Linked DNA regions of Nothobranchius furzeri. The protein of the gene in region 2 interacts with the protein of the main gene of each other region in a biochemical or structural test. Links are inferred from orthologs where the notes say so. Each region holds a gene or a part of one and is shown on either strand. Other genes may lie near its edges.

Region 1 (4,238 bases), on a different chromosome or scaffold from region 2:
ATGAGCTGGCGGGTGTTTGAGACTTCAACGTGAACTCAGATTTCTCCTGGAGTTTCAGACAAGGCTCGCTTGAACGCCTGGAAGTCTCCACATACCCACCAGGAACTACTGACACTAAATCAGCATCTTCAAGCTGATCTCCACACACCTGATCATCACGCTCAGACTTTGGACTTTCTTTCTCGACACTATTCTCTGATGCTTTTGCATCCTTGTGACTACATTCAGGACCAATGGTGATATTACACATTACATCTACAAAATCAGGCACATCAGGTTCAGATCCCAGGCACTCTGTGGCATAATGTTTGGTGTTGAGTTGGATAACAGGCACCTCTTTCTTGCACTGAGTAGAAGGCTCAGTTTTATCTGATTCAGCATTCCTCTGACCTCTGTGCTGCTTAAAACTTTGAAAAAGACTCCTCAGACTTTTTCTCTGCCTGCCAAGAGTCAGAGATTTCCGGTCAGTGGTGTGGTGACTGCACTCATGAGGACAGCTGCCGTGGAGCTCTCCAGATGCACCGCTCTGGCTGTGGGAATCAAAACCTCCAGCTGAGACGCAGCCACCACCTCTCTGACAGTGGTCGTGACTGACCTTACTTAGCCCGTCATACGTTCTACTTTTGCAGACTCCCTTCTTGCACTGATTTTTACTCCTCCCCCCAAAAAAACTTGGTAAAATACAAATATTTTTACGAACTCCAAAGAATGTCAAGGCAGTCCTTTTGAATTTCCCGGATTTTTGAGACTTCACAGTAGTGTTCACTGGATCTGACTGAAGCTCTTCCTTGATGCCATCAGAGTCGGATTGCTGGTCGGCCCTTGGGGGGGAAGCCTTAGGGCCACTCGGTAACTCTTCCAGCTCGCGAGAAGCCATGGTGACTACATTCAGGAAGGCGAGTGTCTGAAAGAAGTCATACTATCTGAGCCTGAAGAATCAGCTGACGGTAAGAGTGAAGTTAGATTGTCCTCCATCTTCAGCCCTATAATAAGAAAATCAGAACCAAAATCAGTAAAAATGCAACAGTTTCAATGAGTGAAGTCAAGAATTCTATTATGAAAATGTTTTATTTTCATCTTTGGCATCCTCGAAGTGCACATTTTCCTCAATTGTTCACATCTCCACTTCCTTGCACATTGTGCAAACTGCATTTCTAGAATTTAGATTTCCTCTATTTAAATACCTACTATGAAATGTCCACAGTTTTAGATCTACCAATAGAAACACCATATGTTTGGTTTTGTTGAGAAACAGATCTAAATATTGAGACGTCTTTAAAAACAAATAAAGGGACCCAGGCAGCAATCACATATGTGTAATATTAGCAAAGCGCTAAAGAAAAATAGCTTAATAAAAAAAGGTTAGTTTATAATTACTTTATTAAATGTTCTGTTTCATCTATCTTGATATTTACATCATTATTTTGGTCAGCAGGTCGGGAAAATGGACATAATGGCATTAAAGTGAGAGAGTTTACATACTATAGCATGAGCATAGGACAAAATGCACTGCTACTGACTTAAAAAAAAACAACAATCTCTAAAGTTCACACGGTTCAAGTGAAAATTCTTTAAAAACAACTTTACAATTTTGTCAGTTTTGCATAACAATTAGTTTCATAGAATTTTATGGTAATTTATGCATCTAAATCAATATCTCCAAAAGGGGGCACTCCTGTTTCATATCAGGTCTTAAGATCTTTCTATTTCTATTCTCAGACAACCAAATGTGCATGAACCTCACAAATTCAGGAGGTTTGAGATGTGTTAAGACAATGGCAATCTCCTCCGTTCTTGGATGTGTTTGTACTAGCCCTTAGCTCATCAATCCTCTTCGACACAAACCATTTCTCTAAATAGAGGCCAGATTTACACAGAGACTGGTTAAAATATAATTTTATAAGAGTTCCGATTTAAAAAAAACAGTTGCCATGTAGCAGGATCAATTTAATTTAGATTCCTTTAAAAACCTACAGAGAAAAGAAGCCTTTTTAATGTAATAGCTACAAGTCATGCTTGCAAACAGATTAAACAATGGCTACCTAAGGTTTACATTTATTATAATGTGACATATTGTGCACATTTGGTTTGACTAAACGTTTCGTCTAATTTTAGATTTAACACCTTTAGCCAGCAGGTTAGACTTGTATGTTTTAAAACTTAGCCTTGTGGGATGTTTTAAAGGACAGAGTAGCTCGTGAAGCAACAGGCTAGATGCTATTAGCATAAAAAAGTAAGTAAAAGTCCAAACTTTTCACGAAGAAAACAACGAAACAACCGGCAGCTACATTTATAACGTACATCATTTCACAAACACTACAATTTACGACTGAAAGAAAACTAAATTCACACCACTAAGCTAACAGAGGTGGAATAAAACAACTTAGCAACAACCTGCTAGTGGAGGTGGGACAGCTTGTTTCGTCTCCAAGGGTGATAGGAAGCTAACTTGTAACTTCTGGCTGCAGCTGGCTGCGGGTCGAGCCAGGCCGCGGAGCGGAGCAGCTCCACCGGTTCTGTCGCCTCCAGCTGGCGCTAAGCTAGCCCAGGTGACCGATAACACCAGCGGTAATCACACTCACCAACGGTTCCTCCATAGTAAACAGTCCACAGACAGCGGTCCCCCTCGGATTGTGGCTGTAGCTTTGAGTCTGAACAATGCTCGCCTTAAGCACACCGCAGCAACAGCTGCAGCAAGAGGAACGCGGGGATTAGCCGAACCGTGAGTCCAGCACCGGTGTTCCGGGTCTGGTTCGGGCAGTGCAGCCCGAGTTCTCCTCAGGTGGTCACAACAAAGCAACAGCGTTTAAAACAGGGTGATGACTCCCGATTTGTAGATGACTCCCAAACCTCCATTCCCGGAGACTCTCTCTGCGCATGTCAGTGACGCAACACGTGTGTTACCATGGTACCCACGTTTAACAGATTAATTCAGATTCATGAAAAGACAGTGAAGGACGAAATGTGTTCCTCGAGCCAATCTCAATAAACGACTTAAAGTCAGCTAAAATCATTCAGTAGTGCAGCTGAAAGGTCAAAGGTCATGTTGCTCATGCTTTCAGGTGGCTGGAGCTCCAGCCTGAAGGAAAGCACGTGAGTAATTTGGTATGTTGTTGTTTACTTTAGTTCTGCATCTGCTTGGGTCTGTAACTTATGGCCCTGGAGTCACACGTGGCTCGCCGGACTTTCTTTTCAACGCATCATCGTAACTTTGGCTCAAATCATTTAAAACAGTCCTGCAAAAGTTCTGGCTCTACACCTGTATTTTATGTATTTATTTATTTGTTTTTTTCATCAATTGAGGGGAAAATGGCTCTTTTATTGCAACTGTTACAGACCCTATAGCGCAAGTGTCCTCCAGAGCTGCGATTCCTAAACCTTTTAGCTTTCAACTCATAAAATAAAAGCCACAAACATGCTAAACAATGGTTGGCCATTTAAGAGGGTGGTCAAGTTTCTGAGTACACTTCAGCTTAAATGTACCAATGGCAACTATATTAACATTTATGTTCAAGACCCCCACCTGATGCCCTGTTCCCAACAATGGGAACCAGTACTTAGAGAGAGGCTGCTGTTGGTCTATTTTCAAGCAGATCATAGTCGTCTTCTCATCAGAGCAGTTCCCAGACTGGATGTCAGGATGGTCACCAGTTTAGAGATTGGCCGTTTTCAGCTGCTTTCACCAGATCAACTGCTTCCCCTCCTATGATGAAGGGAGGAGGAGGGCTGTTTGTTCTCTTTCTAATTAGCAGAAAGTTTGTCTTAAAGTTAAGTCCCTGCAGAAAAAAAAACATCTTTGTTTTCAGTCAGCCTTCTGGACATAACCTGAGCCTTATTTACAGAACATGTTCAAATAGGAGGGAGCATGCTTAAACAAGGAAGCAGAAACCGTTTCAGTAAGCTGCATGAGCAGCCGGAACCGTTTCCTGTCTAAAAAGAAACCCAAACACTCAGAATTAGAGTTTTTATATTACATTTCCATACATATACACATTTTGCTTTCTTTTTAAAAACTGATTAGACCTTAGGCTACAGTGAACAGGAAAATCACAGTGATTGTGGCATAATCAGATAATATTTACAACTCAGTTCTGCAGAAGGTTCGTGCAGTTACCAGTGCAACATCTTGTTTTCTCAACCTAAATCAGCGCCCGATTGCTCCGTTGTCCTTTGATTTCAGTGTTTTCTTTCAAAGTGCTCTTTGTGGTTTCTGATCGTCGTGGTGCTTGTGCTCATCA
Region 2 (3,513 bases):
GTTCCTGAGCTTTTGTTCATTATTTTTTGTAGCAGCTTGTGAAAAACAAACCTGAAGAAGATGAGATCATGATCTGATCCCTTACCTTACCATTACACGGTGACCTAACCCAGGAAACAGACCAGAACTAAGTCTGTACCGAGGCAAACCACAGAGCCTAATGACAACTAAATCCTAACATCACATCCTACCTGTGGCTCAGGTGTGCCTGCTGTTGGGAACTACAACCAGGTAAGCTGTGGTTTGTGAGGTGTAGCCGTATCGCTCACCTTTCCACACTGTTGTGATGAATGCACCCATGAGAACCACCAACAGCGTAAACCATGCCGTCGATAACGCCGACTCCGATCCGGTTCCTGGGAACGCTCATCGGTGCACACGGACGCCAGCAGTTGTTCATAGGATTGTAGCAGTCCAAAGCACTGGAGTCCATGTTCCCGTCTGGCGCGTTGTTCCTGCCCCCGACAGCATAGAAAAGCCCACTGATCACACAAGCTGCCAGGCCGCTGCGAGGTACCTGCAGGTCTGCCAGCCTCAGCCAGGCTCCAGTACAGGGGTTGTAGGCCTCCAGGTAGCTGAGAGACTGACGAAAGTAACCCCCCGCTGTGTAGATCAGCTGCGGCACCATGGGCGTCCTGCAAGGAATTGCTTTGGTGGGTTTGTGGAGCGTGAGGTCCTGGAAGATTTGGGATAGGTAGTCTTTACACTGAGGGTCCCAGTCCAAGGACTGGAGCTGGGTCTGCAGGAAGTTAGGGGTGAGGGAGTGGCAGCGGACAGCCTGGAGTAAGGCTTGGACATACGGTCTCCGGTTCTCCCGGTCATAGCGCACCCAGGCCACACATGCCTGGAAGACTTCGGACTCACACCGCACATTGAGCTCATCGCGGCTGATGAGGTTGACCAACTGGCAGTGGGACAGGTTGAAGAACTCCTCCTGGGTTGCTACCTGGAAGGAGAGACATGGAGACATTTGTCCCACAACTATAATGACTGTCTGTGGATTTCCTCTAACCGTTTCACCTGAGCTGCTGTAAACGGAGCTGAGAGGTCTCAACCTGAAGTCGACTAAAGTCGCCAATTGCATTTTTTTATTGGGCGAGCGTGGGAATGAGCCTCTGCAACGTGAGAATACACATCCCGTTTCTAAAGCTGATCTTCATCCGTCTATATCACATGTCACATGATCAGGAAACAGAAAATCCGTTAATCAGGAGATCGTTTTGGGCCGCTGGTGTGAAAAAAGCGAGGCGCCAACTGGAAAAGCTTCTGCTGCTCACAATTCAACAACAGATTATGAATGAACGGATAACGCTACAAACACACGGATTCTTCCTGATGTAAGCACTCTTTCTTTAGGAAGTTTTGGTATTTACATGAGCATAGAGCACAATGGTCTGTGACTCTTCAAAAAAAACAGTAAAAACGCTCAAAAACACTGGCAGTCCGGGGCTTTCTGATCAGGAAACGGCTGGCAGTGAATGAGTTAACGTTTACATCATGTACTCATATGTGATTCTGTGGTTATTGACGAGCACGAGTGTCAGCAACAGGAACTTCTGGTGTCACCAGGGGTCAAGCCTGGCAGAAACGTCCTATTTCAGAATAAATAATCGTGAGTTTTGAACGTGATTTAAAAAATTAGGTACAATTTTCACTTAAGTCACCTTAAAGCTAGAAGACTTAAATCTGCTGAGGAGTTGGGTCATCCCAGTGTTCCAGTAGTGGTTATTTAGAACATTAACAAAAAAGCTGTTTCAATGAAAAATACAGTGATCCCTCGCTACTTCGCGGTTCGTTTATCGCGGATTCACGACTTCGCGGATTTTTTCTTTGGAGCCTTATTCAAGGGAAATTCGCCAATTCGCTGTATTTTTCACCGATTTGCGGTATTTTTCTATGCGAAATATCAAGAAATTCCTGGTTTTTTTTTTCATCAATTTCATCATAAAATGCACTTTTTGTAATAAAACTATAAAAAACCAAGTAAAAAAAATTTTTCTTGAGTTTTACCCACAAAAAGAGAATGTGATCATACGATAGATCATTCAATATAGTACTGTACTGTAAATATGGTGTCCCTACTTCGCGGATTTTCAGGTCTGGAACGCATCTACCACGATAAACGAGGTATCACCTGTACTTCTGAGGTGACGAATGGTCACTGAGCCACCTACAATACAGCTGTGGCTCTGCCTCAGGTGGTCCTGCAGCTAGGGCTGCAACTAACGATTATTTTCATAATCGATTAATCTGTCGATTATTTTTTCGATTAATCGATTAATCAGTTTGTTATTGTTTAGCTATTTAACCTATACAAGTGATGAATACATTTCAGTTAAGAAAAAGAAAAACATAAGAGAATTGTGCAGTTGACTGCAATCTATTTTATTGCACATGAACACAGTCAGTGGTGTAAAATGAGCTAAACAGTGCAAAATATCAGTCCAGAATAATTTTTTGGTATCAAAATATAAGAGGTAAATTCCATAAAAAAATAATGTAGAATCTAGAATAGAGTTTGTAAGTGGTATGCATTGCTGGGGTGAGTGTCTTGTTCCCCATGTAGTTGTCCATCGTTGCTTGTTTTTTTCTGCATAAGAAACACAAATAAACTGAATTAAGTACACATATAAAATAAAACAGCACACACACTACAACACTAAATCAATATTACATTATTTGAATTAATTAACAATATACAGTGATAATTTATTTTGACAAAAATGTGTTGTGAGGCGTTTTACAGTGTTAGACGGTAAAACAGCCTTTTAATAGTTAAAAAAAGGACTTTCTGAATTTCTCCTGTATTTAAAAATTGAAAGCGTACAACTATGCCGCGTTATATTCACCTGGACACAGCTCGTCTGTATATTTTTCTCCGCGGAGTTGTCCTTTTTTGAATGAGGAACACAGTTATGGGTTTGTGCCGTTTTTCTCTTAACGAGAACAGTCTTATAAACAGACGTGCTAAATTTGGCAAGCGCATGATTCACAACACAGAGGAGATTCACGATTGAATCTAGTCAATCAGAAGTAGAACACCGTAAACTGACGCGGCAAAAAAAAAAAAAAAACATGTTTAACATCCACTATAACGAACTCAGCTAAATCACTAAGTCTCAAATTTGATCTGCGTTAGCTTGTTTATTTTCTGTGACTTACCGGACATTCCTCTGCTGCATCAGCCCCCACGTTTTCGTCTCAAATGTTCACTTAGGGACGTCGTGCTTCCGTCGTGCCATGGTTTTTGCATATTTTGCAGGTCACCGGTCTTTTCAAGGCATCTAGTGAAGTGCTCCCATTCTCGTGAGGTTTTTGTCCGGGGTTTCTCTTGTTTTGTCGCTTCTATTTTTCTTCCGTATTTCTTGTTGATCCGCCATCTCTCACAGCAAGATGAGCGTCAGTAACGTGATACGTCATGAAAACTGGGGGCACTTATTGGCTCATTTCTTCTTCTACGGCTCCACTGGTAGATCAGTGGCTCATTACTGCCACACACTGGCGGCAAATTTA
Region 3 (4,056 bases), on a different chromosome or scaffold from region 2:
TGCTCTTCTCCCAGGCCATCTGGGTCGTCTGTGGCCAGAACATCTACGGTCCCACCCAGAGCCATGGCTGCAGGAAATAAACGGACTCGGTGAGACGCTCCTCACGCTGCAGAACACGATCAAACACGGACGCCACTGTACCTGCTCCCTCCTGCTCACGGGGGTCTCGGTAGCGGTGCATCCTCAGGACATGGTCCGAGATTTCCCGGTCCTGCTCGGGGTCCATCTGATCCAGTACGATGAAGAGGAGGTCGAAGCGGGACAGCAGGGAGTCCTGCAGGCCGATGTTCTCCATGGGGGTTTTATACTGATCATACTGCAGGAACAGAGACCTTCATGAACACACACGTTCCCACCGACACGCCAGTCGAACCGCCCAAGATCAAAGCCGTCCCTGGAGGACGCCTGCAGCGACTTCACCAAGTTAAAAGCATTATTATGCCTCACTCCTGCGCCCACCTCATCACGAGCTGACGACCTCTAACAGCTGAAGGGTTTTGTAAACGTCTGCGCCACGCTCACTCCAACTCACCCTGCCGTAGACCGGGTTGGCAGCAGCCAGAACGGAGCAGCGGGCGTTGAGCCGGGCGTGGATTCCAGCCTTGGCGATGGTGACCCGACCCTGCTCCATCACCTCGTGGATGGCGGTGCGGTCCATGTCGGACATCTTATCGAACTCGTCAATGCACACAACGCCGCGGTCCGCCAGCACCATGGCGCCCGCCTCCAGCCGGCGCTCACCGGTCTCCTGGTCAGTGGTGACTGCAGCAGTGAGACCCACGCCGGAGGAGCCCCGCCCGGTGGTGGGGATGGCTCTGGGCGCGGTCTGAAGAACGTAACGCAGCAGCTGGGATTTCGCCACCGACGGGTCACCTGGAAAACCACACACACCGGATGTGAGACAAAATCCCAGAGTGGACACGAACCGCTCTACAGGTCTCCGTTTACCGATGAGCAGGATGTTGATGTCTCCTCTGATGCGGGTACCATTCTCCAGAACCTTCTCCACCCCGCCCAGCAGCATGCACAGGATGGCCTTCTTGATGTAGTCGTGTCCGTGGATGCTGGGTGCCAGCGAATGGGCCAGCCGGTCAAACACGTTCTACAGAAACAGTCACCATTAAAACACACACACACACTCACACACACACACACACACACTCACACACACTCACACACACACACACACACACACACACACACACACACACACACACTCACACACACTCACAATGGAGCGAGTCCGGCAGAAGTTCCTGATCTTGGCCACGTCGTCGGCAGAGAAGGACGGGGAGACCTCCTTGCTCATTTGTTTGACCTGACAGGCGATCATGATGGTCCTGCAGAAACAGGGGAGTTTGGAGTTTTACCTTTTCTCCTTTAGCTCTGGATCTAAACCACCAACAGATGTCTGAAGGACATCACATCAAACCTGAACGTGCCGGAGGTGAACCCTCCCTTCTTCCCAGGCAGGCAACGGTATGTCCCCACGACCTGGACTCGGTCTCCTGGTTTGACGGAATCCACCAAGTCGTTGTCCAGAACGATGTCCACAGAGCGGGGCAGCTGACCGGCTGGAGCCTTCTCCGGCATCTCCTGCACCGTGATGGTCTGGTGGTCCTTGTAGATGGACAGACCAAACTCCGTCTCCAGGGGGTTGTTCTCCTCATCCTAAAGCAGCGGAACCGATGACGGTTAGCCATCTTCAGTCACACACAACCTTTACCATCTGAGCTAGCAAACACCCACCTTGGTTGGGTAAATGGCACTGGAAGGGAAGGCATCCAGAGAGGTCAGGTCGCTGTACACCCTCTCCATGGTTTTCTTGGTGGCTGGACAGTAGTGGACACTGCGCACCACTTTGGGACGCACAAGAGAACCTACAGGAAAAGACCGGAAGGTTAGATGAAACCCAGAGCCAGCAGGCAGCTACAAATCCTAAACTCACACTTGGTGACGATGCCCTCCACACACACCACGCTGCCCAGCAGTCGCGAGGTCAGCGTCCGGGGGGACACGTGCTTGGTGCCGAAGCTGCCCTCCAGCCCGATAAAGAACTCCTCGTGCTGCTTGGCGTAGGTGGCGTCCACCGTGGCCACCACGTCCTTCAGAGCCCGCTGGAAGGCCAGCAGCTCCTCAAACGCACTGTTCAGCAACCTGGGAGGCAAAAACCAGCTGTGATGGCGGGACACGTGATCTGAGGAACCGCCTCTTATCCACCATTTCTGTTCAGTACTGCCTTTTTGGAGCATTTATCCTCTAAAAGTTAGATCTCGCTAAACAGAAGGAGCAGTTAGCTGTGTCTGCTGGAGACATCTTTACACTCATGGATGATGGAGGGGAACCTCAGGAGCTCCAGACCCAAAGGGGACAGCGAGTGTGACTAACTTTGCGGCCCGGGTCTCGTTGCGCCTCCTCAGGTCGTTGATGTTGACGATGAGCCGGGCTTTGTTGTCTCCGATCATGTCGCGGACTTTGCTCTGGTAGATGCCCTGGTCCTGCTGCAGGTCGGACAACAACACGGAGGCTGTTAAAAACGCATTCCTGACACAAGTCTGACCACGACGGCGGCCTTTGTTGTTCTCTCCTTACAGGAACACATCAAAGGACAAAAGGTGACTTACGTCGTCGTCCAGGAAGTCCACATAGTCCCTCTGCGCCTCCCTCATCTCCCGGTCGTCCACCATGTCGGTCGCCATTATTTCTGATCAACTTTTCTCGGTGATGAAACTGAAAACGGGAAACAAAACGCTGCCGCCACCGTCACACCTCACGACTGAAGACTTTTCGCGCCACTGCGGTCTGCGTCACAGTACAGCGTGCCCTACGATTGGTCAACCCGTCACGTGGTCTTTTGCATACTCGGCGGGTAAACTCACGCAATAATCACGTGACACTTAACCCCCTCCCCCAGCATGCTTTGCGCGCCGGCCGTGGATTTTCAACAGGAAGCGGAAGTGGGGAGAGCTACGAAGTTTTAAACGTGAGTTTGTTAAAAACCAGCCGTAGAAACCTAAAAAACTTAAAGCGGTTCTGTTTATAGACATTTGTCGTTTGTATGTTTGTTCTTTAAATTACATTTTAGGCAGAAATCAGCCAGAACGACTTTGTTTCGCAGGTCCCAGTTATTCCTGTGTGTGTGTGTGTGTGTGTGTGTGTGTGTGTGTGTGTGTGTGTGTGTGTGTGTGTGTGTGTGTGTGTGTGTGTGTGTGTGTGTGTGTGTGTTGAATTGTCATTTGTTTTAAGGACAACGGCGCAAAGAAGCGTTTTTATGAAGCTCAGAGGTGAATAGGAAGCTGTTCACACACACACACACACACACACACACACACACACACACACACACACACACACACACACACACACACACACACACACACACACACACACGTTCTTCTGTGAAAAGTAGTTTTACATTCAGGGATTTACACAGCTGACACGTTTTAATGAAGTAAAAAGTTTGTGTGCAGAATAAAAGTTTTATCTTCTCATGTGGATAAATGTAAAAGTGTGTTTATTGCCTTTTTGTCACCTGTGGTCTGATTTTCTCTGTAGGACTGCAGGTGTCCAGGGTCAGGAGAGGCTTTACCTGGTGCAGCTGCCAGCCTGGCCAGAGGGAGAAAGCAGCCAGGATCACCCAGCTCTGGTGATGGCCGGACACCGCCCCCCCCTCCTCCTCCCTTCCAGGCTGCTGAGGAGCACAGCTGAGCTGAGTCCTCCTGATGAGCCACACCTGGATAAAAGAGCTGTGCCTTCAGAGTCTGGGAGGCAGCAGTGCAGGAGCTCTGCTGTTCTCCATTCGTTCTGTATGAGTTTAACTTTTATAGTTGAAACTCTTGAGTGATCCTGTGGGATCTTGTGTTCGTTGGTTTTTAAGGTTAACTTTGTTTGTTGCAATTTTATTGACATGGTTTTTAAATACCTTTGTTTGGTAAAACTTAAGTTTTAACCAGGTGTTTAAGTCAGTAAATTGTTTTATATCAACTTCGCGGTGCTTTTAGAACACCTTCTTGCGGTGAAGCTTTTAACAAATTTTTAACCAGGTGTTTTTTATAG

The links.
Region 1: the proteins of keap1b (region 2) and APC membrane recruitment protein 1 form a complex in vitro, tested with the Homo sapiens proteins (2 studies listed by BioGRID). The link is inferred for Nothobranchius furzeri from reciprocal best matches to the Homo sapiens genes KEAP1 and AMER1.
Region 3: the proteins of keap1b (region 2) and mcm3 form a complex in vitro, tested with the Homo sapiens proteins (2 studies listed by BioGRID, with this or other methods). The link is inferred for Nothobranchius furzeri from reciprocal best matches to the Homo sapiens genes KEAP1 and MCM3.

Annotation. Positions count from the first base shown.
Region 1 is NC_091750.1:49,363,987-49,368,224, forward strand, and holds the start of APC membrane recruitment protein 1, read right to left. Parts: upstream 2,806-4,238; 5' UTR 2,583-2,805; intron 2,532-2,582; exon of another isoform or gene 2,395-2,531; intron 984-2,394; 5' UTR 878-983; coding exon 1-877. UniProt on the Homo sapiens protein: Regulator of the canonical Wnt signaling pathway.
Region 2 is NC_091747.1:74,209,475-74,212,987, reverse strand, and holds part of keap1b (kelch-like ECH-associated protein 1B), read right to left. Parts: intron 947-3,513; coding exon 270-946; intron 1-269. UniProt on the Homo sapiens protein: Substrate-specific adapter of a BCR (BTB-CUL3-RBX1) E3 ubiquitin ligase complex that regulates the response to oxidative stress by targeting NFE2L2/NRF2 for ubiquitination.
Region 3 is NC_091742.1:30,394,132-30,398,187, forward strand, and holds the start of mcm3 (DNA replication licensing factor MCM3), read right to left. Parts: upstream 2,806-4,056; 5' UTR 2,700-2,805; coding exon 2,625-2,699; intron 2,502-2,624; coding exon 2,389-2,501; intron 2,158-2,388; coding exon 1,949-2,157; intron 1,881-1,948; coding exon 1,750-1,880; intron 1,672-1,749; coding exon 1,433-1,671; intron 1,341-1,432; coding exon 1,232-1,340; intron 1,103-1,231; coding exon 949-1,102; intron 874-948; coding exon 533-873; intron 317-532; coding exon 142-316; intron 68-141; coding exon 1-67. UniProt on the Homo sapiens protein: Acts as a component of the MCM2-7 complex (MCM complex) which is the replicative helicase essential for 'once per cell cycle' DNA replication initiation and elongation in eukaryotic cells.